Ovis aries: one gene and its partner. The protein of the gene in region 1 interacts with the protein of each later gene in a biochemical or structural test. Links are inferred from orthologs where the notes say so. Each region holds a gene or a part of one and is shown in the gene's direction. Other genes may lie near its edges.

Evidence for each region.
Region 2: the proteins of SH2D1B (region 1) and SLAMF1 interact in a test that uses a peptide from one of them, tested with the Homo sapiens proteins (2 studies listed by BioGRID). The link is inferred for Ovis aries from reciprocal best matches to the Homo sapiens genes SH2D1B and SLAMF1.

Annotation. Positions count from the first base shown.
Region 1 is NC_056054.1:113,921,368-113,926,492, reverse strand, and holds part of SH2D1B (SH2 domain-containing protein 1B), read left to right. Parts: intron 1-1,634; coding exon 1,635-1,800; intron 1,801-3,924; coding exon 3,925-3,962; 3' UTR 3,963-5,125. UniProt on the Homo sapiens protein: Cytoplasmic adapter regulating receptors of the signaling lymphocytic activation molecule (SLAM) family such as CD84, SLAMF1, LY9 and CD244. In SLAM signaling seems to cooperate with SH2D1A/SAP.
Region 2 is NC_056054.1:111,728,037-111,733,954, reverse strand, and holds the end of SLAMF1 (signaling lymphocytic activation molecule), read left to right. Parts: intron 1-4,278; coding exon 4,279-4,514; 3' UTR 4,515-4,531; downstream 4,532-5,918.

The DNA of each region.
Region 1 (5,125 bases):
GATCCCCAGATACACACACACACACATATAATTTTTTCTTTGAAACAAAAGACATTGTTGAGGCAATTGACAAATTTTTGAATAAGATCTGTAGATTAGTAAACAGTATCATATCACGATTAACTTCCTCATTTTAGCCTGGATATGTAATATTCTTGTTTTTTAGGAAATAGGAAGTATTTAGGTTAAAGAGATATCATGTCAGTAACTTTCATATTTTTTTTAAAAAAGGATAAATATATGTACATTTGTATATTTAGAAAGAGAAGATGAAAGGCAAAACAATGAAATGTTAACCTTTGGGGTGCGGGTGAAGGATATACATGGAAATTTAAAAAACATTTTTGAATCTTTTAAAGCAACTCATTTTAAAACATTTCTTTGTTGTGCATATTTTGGGAAATTCTGGATAATTCCTTAATACCCCATTTTGTCTCTTGTCTGGACGAAACAGAGAGGCATCCACATCTCTTCTAACAGACGCGGGGGCATTTCATGGGAAGCAGCTCTACATCAGGGCCGGTGCTAGATGCCGCCTTGGGCTGATGCAACAGCCTTTCGTGCAGCCGACTTCCAGCTCAGCCGGAGTCTCTGTCACGGAGGTTCACACACTGCAGTTCCCAGAGCTTTCCCATCACCACCCGTCTCTGCAGACCAATACCTTGGCCCTCTGAGAACCACAGTGATCATCAAGAAACACAACTACATAAGAGCTGAAGAAGCTTTTTTGTTTTACAATTATTTCTGTAAGATTGTAGTAGAGGGACTTCCCAGGAGGTCTACTGGTTAAGACTTTGCCTTCCAACACAAGCGGTGCAGGTGTGACCCCTGGTTGAGGAACTAAAATCCCATATGCTTCATGGCCAAGAAACCAAAACATAAAACAAGCAATATTGTAACAAATCCAATAAAAACTTTAAAAATGGCCCACATCAAAAAAAAAGTGAAAGCGTTATTATTTTTTTTTAAATGACTAGAAATTTGTGCTTTGCTTATAGCTGGTAAACAGAAAACAACTGTTCATAATTTTACCTGAATCATGCTGACATTTCCATTTTCAATTTAAATCCGGACATTTTGGTCTTATTTTCCTCTCACGGAGATTCTGAATTCAAGTATGTAGGCTTTTATGATTTTTTTTTTTTTTTTTTGGCTATGTGGCTTGCAAGATCTTAATTCCTTGATCAGGGATTGAACCCAGGACCACGCAGTGACAGCACTGATTCCTAACCACTGGACCACCATCAAGTACAGAAATTGCATTTCCCATTGAAGTCTGCCTGCATTAGTCGCTTACACTCTCACATAAGCTCTTAGAGGGGTTACCCTCCACAGGGTACGGACAAGAGCTGCCCCCACATTGCCATAGATGGGAATTCACTCAATACTGCAGACTGAGGTGGGGACCCTTGATTGTTAATCCTCTTTACTCACAGTAGCTCAAGCCAGAGCTCTGTTTTTAGAGGGAAGGTTTCTGTGTTTTGTGTGTGGTGTGAGCTCCCACACATGAAATGCCAGCCACTTGTTTTCAGTTCGCTGCTCAGAGGCAGCCCTGAAAACCACTGTTGTGAGAAGTGTCACCTTTCACACATAGTTGCGTGGTGATGAGTGCTCTCCTTCTTGTATTTTTGCAGACTGTGGAAGGTGTTAAACGAGAGATCTTTCCAAACCTGAAGGAACTGATCTCCAAGTTTGAAAAGCCAAATCAAGGACTGATGTTTCACCTCGTAAACCCAATAAAGAGAACCAGATCCTGCCTGAGATGGAGAAGATCGAAGATAGAGTTGGATGGTATTTATGGTAAAAACTTTCATAGGGGGCCCAGACAAGAGCCTTAGTCCCACTTCTACTACAGAATCCATACAGATAACTGCTCCTTTCTATGATGTTAGCTCTAGAAAGCCTCATCCTGCGAATAGCATTTTTCTATCTTGTTAGGAAGCAGTGCCTTCATGCTCCTGGTGGTGGCAAACGCACAGAGCTCTCTGTGCTCAGGCAACCCAGGGAAAATAGTGGTCCCCGGGCATTCCATGCTGCGGCTGCTGCTGCTAAGTCGCTTCAGTTGTGTCCGACTCTGTGCGACCCCATAGACAGCAGCCACAAGGCTCCTCTGTCCCCGGGATTCTCCAGGCAAGAATACTGGAGTGGGTTGCCATCTCCTTCTCCAATGCATGAAAGTGAAAAGTGAAAGTGAAGTCTCTCAGTCGTGTCCAACTCTTAGCGACTCCATGGACTGCACCCTACCAGGCTCCTCTGTCCATGGGATTTTCCAGGCAAGAGTACTGGAGTGGGGTGCCATTGCCTTCTCCCAGGCATTCCATGAGTCAACTTCAAACTCACCCTGTGACCTTGTGCCAATCACATATTTGGGAATAGATGGCCAAAAAGCAGAATTTTCAAATAAGAAAATTGCTTCAACTTCCTTCTCCAAGCCTCATCCTGTTACATTTTGCTCAATATTTGCTAAGCATTCATTTATGTGGTGTTAGTGGACAAATTGGGCTTTCCCGGTGGTCCTAGTGGTAAAGAACCCGCCTGTTATTGCAGGAGACATAAGAGATGTGGGTTTGACCCCTAGGTCTGTAAGATGCCCTGGAGGAGGGCATGACAACCCACTCCAGTATTCTTACCTGGAGAATCCCATGGACAGAGGAGCCTGGTGGGCTACAGCCCATAGGGTCGCACAGAGTCAGACATGACTGGAGTGCCTTAGTAGGGAGCAGGGGGCTAATTATTTCAGATACACCCCAAGAGTTATCAAGCCATGGTGGGAAATGAGAGTGCAGAGGATCAGTAAATCTGAGTGCACAGGATCCAGGTCATATCCCAAGCAGTGACTCTTGTGTACACCCCTTGAAATCTGTTAGCAGAAAAGAATCTAGTATCCATCAGTCACAACATAGTTCGAATTTAGCTCAGACTTCCTGAGACATTTACAGTTTAACCCTGTTTTCTCAAGGTGGAATGTATGGTTAGAGCCCCATTAAAGGGATTTCAGTCCTCAGTGGGCAGGTGACGTAATGGGAGCAGAGTGCTAGCTAGGGAGCAAGGAGGGGAACAGAGGGTTCCAGGAAGTCTGCAGTCACCCCATACCCATTGTACTCTGTCTACAGCCTCGCTGCCCTTTAGACTGCCAGAGAAAGCTTCTCACCTCCCCAAGACTGAACACAGTTTTTTAATGAGAAAACAGCCCTCCCCTCCCATTGTTTCTGTCTCCCTCCCCCAGGCAGAGGAGTGTGTACCCCATCACAGAGTTGCTTGCTATAGTTATAGCTGCAGATGTGGTCCCATGGCCATTTTCTACCATAACTTACAGAAAGAAATAAAAATACAAAGAATAAAAGGGGGGCAGAGGAGCAACCTAGGGATGTACTCGTGCTGCAGTCCTTAGGCAAACCCTGATGAGCTGCTCGGGGTGCTTGAGGGTGGCGGTAGTATTTGTCTCAGGGATAATAAAATAACCACAAATCCCAAGAGGAGAACCCTTTGGAGTTCATTCCAAGAGCTGAGCGGGAATCTCGCCACACCAGTTGTCCAAGCTCGGGCAGCCTTGGCAGAACGAGCTCCCAAATCCTCAGCCATTAAGGGGGAAGGAACTTCTTCTGAGCTGCTCATCGTCTCCCCCGCCCCCGTTCCCTTGGCCACCTCAGAACAAGCCTCACGTGTTCTCACCCTCAGGGCGGCACAGGTTCTCTGCTGGTGAGTGGAGGCATCTGGTGCTGGAAACTCTTGTCCTTGACTTATAAACAGGCCCCCTATGTTGCCAGGAGAGCTCCCTGTGGTGCCCCAGCTCTTGAAGGTGTCACTCTGCTGTGGCATCAAGACCACCCTGTGCCTGGGCAGAGGGCTTCTTTCCCACGAGAGGTGTTGGTCAGGGTGACTCCTGGGTGCAGAGCCTCACGGCTGGTCTCCTTTTCTCCCCAGAGAACAGTGGCAGCGACTATGTGGATGTCCTGCCTTGAAGGGATGGAGACTGGATGAAGCGCTTACAGAAGAGATGGGTGACAGCTCTCGCCAGCGATCCTGCTTCTCCTGCAGGTGTGGGTCTGGAAGACCAAACTCTAGGGGACAATTTAGACTCTCCTGTTCTGAGTGACTGAAGATGTTTTGTTCACCAGCTGCAGAGAAATCAGTCCCCTTGCCCTGCCTCCCATGCTTACCAAACGAGGAGCTTCAAAACCCCATTTCCCCTCCCACTGTTCTTTCTTGGAATAGGACCACCTGAACCTATTCTTGACTTGTTAAAGGTACTACCACTACAAGACAGTTGACATCTGGTCAACTGGGAGAGAAGAGAGTGCTGGTGTCTACTTTGGAGCCTGAGTTCCAGTCATGATGATGTGACTGCAGACAAACCACTTCCTCTTTCTAGGCCTGTTCCTTCATTGAAAAACAAGTGGCTGGGCAGAGGACAGCCGATGCCCCAGCCTCTTTGCTGAAGCTGGTTGAGTCAGGTGGCGTTGGGGAGCCCCTGAGTGATGGACGTGTATACTGGATCTCAGACTCCCAAAACAGCCAACACATTCTCTGCATCTGCCTGTGCTGGTCTTGGTGATGGTGGGAGCCCAGACCCACTCATGCACCCTTTTCCCTCCAGCCTGGGTGACCCACCTTCTTTCTAATCTCCTTCCCTGCTAAACTTTGCCCTGGAGACACTTCCTCTTTGATTCTGCCTAATTTCATTTATGCATTAACCACTTTAACAGCAGCAACGGGGCTCTGCGTTGTGACACATGTGGGGATTTTGAAGGCGTGTCACAGTGCAGAACCACGTCGCTGCTGTTAAAGTGGTTAGTGCTTTTTCTGACTAGGCTTTAAAGTGTGGTTGAGTCTCCCCATGAATCCTCCACAGCACATAGAAGTGCATGCCGCACAAACTGTGCCCCATTTAGAGACATTACTGACTAGGAGCCCATTCCCGAAGGGTTTGTTGCCTTGGTTCTAAGGCCCTTTGTATTTTTCTGCTAGTTCACATTTTAAGTTAAGGCCTGCTTAGTGTGGAATGTACCACATGCTATGCCCATTCTCTGATCCATCTTCAAACCTTAGTGATTCATTTCACCCCACTGGCCTTATTAAAGAGAGGAGCTTGGATTTCTGGGAAACAAGAACAGACACTGTGGTT
Region 2 (5,918 bases), about 2.2 Mb from region 1:
TAGGGCACCAAATGTTTTACCCTGACCCATCTCAGAAAAGAAGAATAATTCTCTTCATGTTCCTCAGTATGGTTTAACAAGAATTTAGTTAATGCATCTCAAAGTCTTGGCCATAAAGCTTCTGCTAGAGGCACTTAGTTCAGGACATTCTTAAAAAAACATATAAAGGGACTTCCCTGGTTGTCCAGTGGTTAAGACTGCACTTCCACAGCACAGGGCATGTAGCTCAGAGGATAAAGCATCTGCCTACAATGAGGGAGACCCACGTTTGATCCCTGGGTCAGGAAGATCCCCTGGAGAAAGAAATGGCAACCCACTGCAGTACTCTTGCCTGGAAAATCCCATGGATGGAGAAGCCTGGTAGGCTATAGTCCATGGGGTTGCAAATAGTCAGAGACAACTGAGCGACATCACTTTTTCTTTCCAGGGAATAAGATCATACATGGCACATGACATGGCCAAAAAATAAAATAAAAATTGAATATAAAATGTTTAAAAAGGAAAGAAAAAAGAAACATGTAAAGATGTTTGAGTGGTCCATCTAAACCACTTTGAGGACCGAGTATGCACTAGTGTGACCAGATTTACTGGATATGGAGCAGGCCTTCATGAGATGGGGAGGGACAAGAAGCAGCAGAAACATGGAACCATGGGAAAACCCTGTCAGGACCTCAACTCAGGCATTAAGGCAACTACTCAGCAGCCATTGCACTTTCTTGGACCTCTGTTTCATTATATGTAAACTGAAAAGGGTGAACTCCTGAAGCTCTTTCCCGAGTAAGTAGTCTATAAGTCCATTTTTATGTACATTAATAAGAAATGCTAATGAAGGATTACCGTTTGTATATTCATTTCCTAGGGGTGTTGTAAAAAGGTGCTGCAAAGTCAGTGACTTACATAACCGAAGTTTATTGTCTCACAGTTCTGGAGGCTAGAAGTTCAAAATCAAAGTGTCAATAGTGTTGTTTCTTCTGACGGCCATGAGGGAAGGAGCTGTTCCATGCTTCTCTCCTTGGCTTGGAGATAACTGTCTTCTCCTTTTGTCTCTTCACATTGTCTTCCCTCTCTGCGTATATCTGTCCTGATTTCCACTTATTAAAATGACACCAGTCATATTGGATTAGGACCCACCTATAATTACTTTGCTAGGGTTGCCATAACAAAAACACCACAGATGAGGTGGTTTAAATAACAGAAATTTACTTTCTCACAGGAGAAAGGAGGCTAGAAGTCCACGATCAAAGTGTTGGAAGGGTTGATTTTTTCCTGAGGGCTCCCTCCTGTACGGCAGATGGCTGTCTTCTTGCTGTGTCTTCATGTGGTCTCTGCATGCTCATCCCTAGCGACTTTGTATGTCCAGATTTCCTCTTACAAGGACACTAGTAAGATTAGATTCAGATCCACCCTAATGACCTCATGTTAACTTGATTACCTCTGTAAAGACCCAGTCTCCAAATAAGGTCACATTTTAAGGACTTCAACATATGAATTTTTGGGGAAACACAGTCAACCCATAACACAAATAGAGATCCCCTGCCCTGCCTCCAGGGATGGGGAACCACAGCATTCGAGAACCAAATCACACAGCTAGTCTGTGGCATGCCATTTTCAGTACACCAGATTGCCTAAATATGGAAAACAGAATTTTATTATTTCGTTGATTTGGGTTTGCAAAAGAATATCACTGATTTTTAAAATACCATGCTTGGTTCAACAAACAAAACATTACTGAGATTCTGCTATGTTCCAACGTTGTGCTAGGTGCTGAGAACACAAAGACAAAAAAAAAGACACACTCTTTGCTCTTAAGAAAGGGAATAGCTCTATAAGTAACTATTATTCCAGGTTAAGTAGTACAATAGGGGCAAAACAGAAATATGTGCAAGTTAACCCAGAGGAGGGAATGATTGACATTGTTTCAGGGAATCAGAAAGAGCATCATGGAGAATGTGACACAAACTAGGTGTTGAAGAATAGATAGAAATTACCCAAACAGATAAGAGAAAGACACTCAAGGCAGAGAGAAAAGCAGATATAACTGGGCCTTGTTCTGTATTGTCCTATGGTATTCTGATGGGAACTAATAGATAGTTTTAGACAGAGGATAATGTGATTAGTTTTGCATTTCAGAGAGAATTTTCAGTGGTGTGGACAGTAGACTGTGGTGGGGAAGAAGCAGAAGAAAAAGAAACTAGCTGTGGGGAGGGCCCATTATTGCAGTTACCCATCAAGAGATGATGAGTCCTGAGCCAGAGCACTGGTTGTTCCCTTAACAAAGATCTCATTCAAGGGAGGGAAATCCCAGTCTTGGGATGATGTGGTGGGGTATGAGGATTTGCTAGAGGTCTCTTTGTTATCTATAATAAGGACAGTGATCTTGAGACATTTTTCACTTTCCTTAATGAAAAATTCGAATGGTAATGATGTGATGAAAGCAAATGTAACATGATGTCAGCACTGGTTCTCATCAGGACTCAGACTAAACCACACAAGAACGTATTTGTTTTTCAAGATCTTTTTTTCCTAACAATTGTCCAGGCTCTCCATCATATATTCATCTTTATTCCACTTGTTATCTCAGTGTTTTACAGCAAGAAATACCTTCATATCTATTGTTATGAAGCCTCTTTACTACAAAGTACTTTCTTCGTGGCTCAGTGGTGAAAAAAAAAAAAAATCTACCTACCAATACAGGAGATGCGGGTTCAATCTCTGGGTCAAGAAATTTCCCTGGAGAAGAAAATGGCAACCAGTATTTTCCAGTATTCCTGCCTGGGAAATCCATGGACAGAAGAGCCTGGCAGGCTACAGTATACAGGGTCCCAAAGAGCTGGACATGATTTAGTGACTAACAACAACAACAAAAAAACAAATCCAAGGATGCTACCAAGCCTTCTCCTAGGTCATGTTAATGTGGGTCAGCACTGGACAGTGAGTGACTTGCTGCCATCTTTCATGACTGTGTTCTGAAATAGTTCTGTCTGTGCAGTAGTGAGTAATACTAAACCTTAAACAGTTGAACTCAGAGGGAATGCCCCTGGGAGCTCATTTTGAAAAGAGGACCCCTTTCAGTAGATTAGCAAAAGGTTGGCTCAGCAAGTCTAGGTTAGCTCAGTGGAAGGAAAATCTGACGCCTGCCAGTGAGCTCCGGGGGCTCCCCCTTTCTAACAAGGCCATCTCATCAAAAGGGAGCTCCCATTGCTACTGAGTCATCTAGCTGTTCTGTGTACAGGCAAGTCCCTCTCCCTGGTACTCCCAACCCAGGAAACATGGCAACAATCTTGGAAGGATGAAACCTGTCCCCTCTCATGGACCAGAGCCCTGTCACGTGGCCACACCTGCTACACAGGAAGCTGAGAAATGGAGTCCTTAGCTGGCCAGTCATGTGACTGGACAAGACTTGCTTTGTCGGGGAAGGATGAAAATGGCCCCAGGGGTTACACCCAGTCGTCCCTGCAACGCAATGCTGGGTGGGATAGCAAGTGTGAGGGATTTTTCTGGAAGCTGAGAACTCTGTGTAATAATTTTTACTTGGGTGGCGCCATATCTTAAATTAGTGTATGGTTTGGGACCACCCTTCCCCCACTCCCAATTCTGAGAGGAAGCTGCCACCAACAAAAAGGTGTCTCTTGAAGATGACTGACTTCTTCACGTTGATGTGCTCCAGGCAGACAGCCTTGCTGACAGACCACATGAAAGGCCGGAAAGAGATATGGCGCTCTCAGACCGTTATATTAGCATCTCGGTATCTCCTGGGGTGAGCTACATTTGTTTCTCAGATCCTTTTTATTTTCTTCTTTATCTTCCCTTAAACAATTAGAATTTGGGGACTTGAGAGAGACTTTTGTGTTTCTGTGGCAGCAGACTTTCAGAGATAAATAAAAAAGGCCCTTCAGCCTTTTCCTTAGAGGCGTGGCTACCTGCCGAGTTATCAGGTCTAAAGCACAGCCAATCAAATAGAAGACCAAAGGATGGAAACTCACGCAAAGAACTCTTCATAAATGGCACTGGAGTTCTCAACCAGCCTGCTCAGCTGTCTCTAAGAGGTTCCACGGAGGGGGAAAGTCCTAAGTCTCCTCTTTAAGAATGTTCAGGGACTTCCCTGGCAGTGGTTAAGACTTTTCCTTCCAGTACAGGGGGTGTGGGTTTGATTCCTGGTTGGAGAGCTAAGATCTCATGTGCCTTTGGCCAAAAAACCAAAATATAAAACAGAAACAACGTTGTAACAAATTCAATAAAGATTTTTTTTAATGATTTTTTTATTTTTATTTTTTAAAGAAGACTGTTCAGATAAGGATTCTTTTTGGACAAAGACCGGGACCTGTGGACCCCAGAACAATGTTGATCTGATTTCTGAGCATCGTCATCCTGAGGGGCCTCACTATATGAGCAAAAAGAGGGAGAACAAAAAGAGCCAGAGTCCCTGCCACAGGAAGTGGTGGTTTGAAAATGGGAACACAGATGGTGCTGAGAGCACAGATGCACACCTTGTTTCTGGTTCCATTCGGCTATAATAAAGCACTGCCAAGTAGGTCATTGATTGTTCCCTTCCACTCCTGCCTTGGGCCATTCAGAAGGTGACCCTGCATTCCTTCTGAGACCTTCTTATTTTGTGTATGTGCATGCACGCTCAGTCATGTCCGACTCTTTGCAACCCCACAAACTGTGGCCCTCCAGGCTCCTCTGTCCATGGAATTTCCCAGCCAAAGGGTATATGGCAGTCTTCTCCAAGCTTCATTCTATGGCTCCTAATTTAATTTAACTTAAATCACTTGTCCACCACGTGCATATTGAGTGCCCCCTGCGCTATACTGTGTCATGTGGAAAGGGGAATGCGTGTGAAGCATAAGGTACAGGATCTACCTTCAAGGAGTTTACCATCTAGATAGGATTCCTACACCTTACTGGGTTAGAACTCATGGTCATATTAAAGAAACCACTATTAGAATTCCTCTCTGGGAGGGAACAGAGCTTCTTTAGGATAAAGAGCTTCATAAATGCTTTATGAAGAGTATAAGCTGCTCTTTATGGAGAACAGAAGATAAGACCTCCCTTCCCCAAACAATCCAGCTGTAGGTTCAATACTTCTGTGTTATAATGGGGGAAGCTGTTGCTTATGCAGATATAGGAAGAGAAAGATAGGGTCTGAGCCTCTCACGTGTTAGAAACCTTCCCTTTTCATGATGGAATCTGCTCCTTGTGAACTTCCAAATCTACAGTAGAGGATTTGAACCCATGACATTCTCTTTGTTTGTTTGTTTTTGCTACACCACACAGCATGCTGCACCGCACAGCAGGCAGGATCTTAATTCCCAGACCAGCTACTGAGCTCATGCCCCGTGCAGTGGAAGCATAGAGTCTTAATCACTAGATCACCAGGGAAATCCCCCAACAAAATTCTTAGTATAGGTTTTTTGGTTTTGTTTTATTTGTGTGTGTGTGTGGAAATGGGTGAAGACACTGAACCTTGCACTCAGGACAGCTCAGACTACAGGGCTGCAGGAGAGAAAACTCAGGGGACTATAGGAAGTTATTGACAGAAATTAAAGAGATCGTGAGCAGCCTGACCCCCGCAAGCTGTAGAAGTAGCTTTTTGTCCATATTTATTTAAATTCCCAAAGGCAGTCCATAACATTTAGTTTCCGTATGCATATCATAATTGAATAAGAGCACCAAAAAGGTGAGCACCAAGTGTAGAAGCTACACCTGGGAAGCATGTGGTGAATAAACATCAATTCCACTTGCCTTGGGATTCCCAGGTGGTGCTAATGTTAAGGAACCCCTCTGCCAATGCAGGAGATGCAGGTTTGATCCCTGGATCAGGAAGATCCCTTGGAATGAGGGCATGACAACCTACTCCAGTATTCTTATCTGGAGAATATCCATGGGATGGAGAATCTCATGGACAGAGGAGCCTG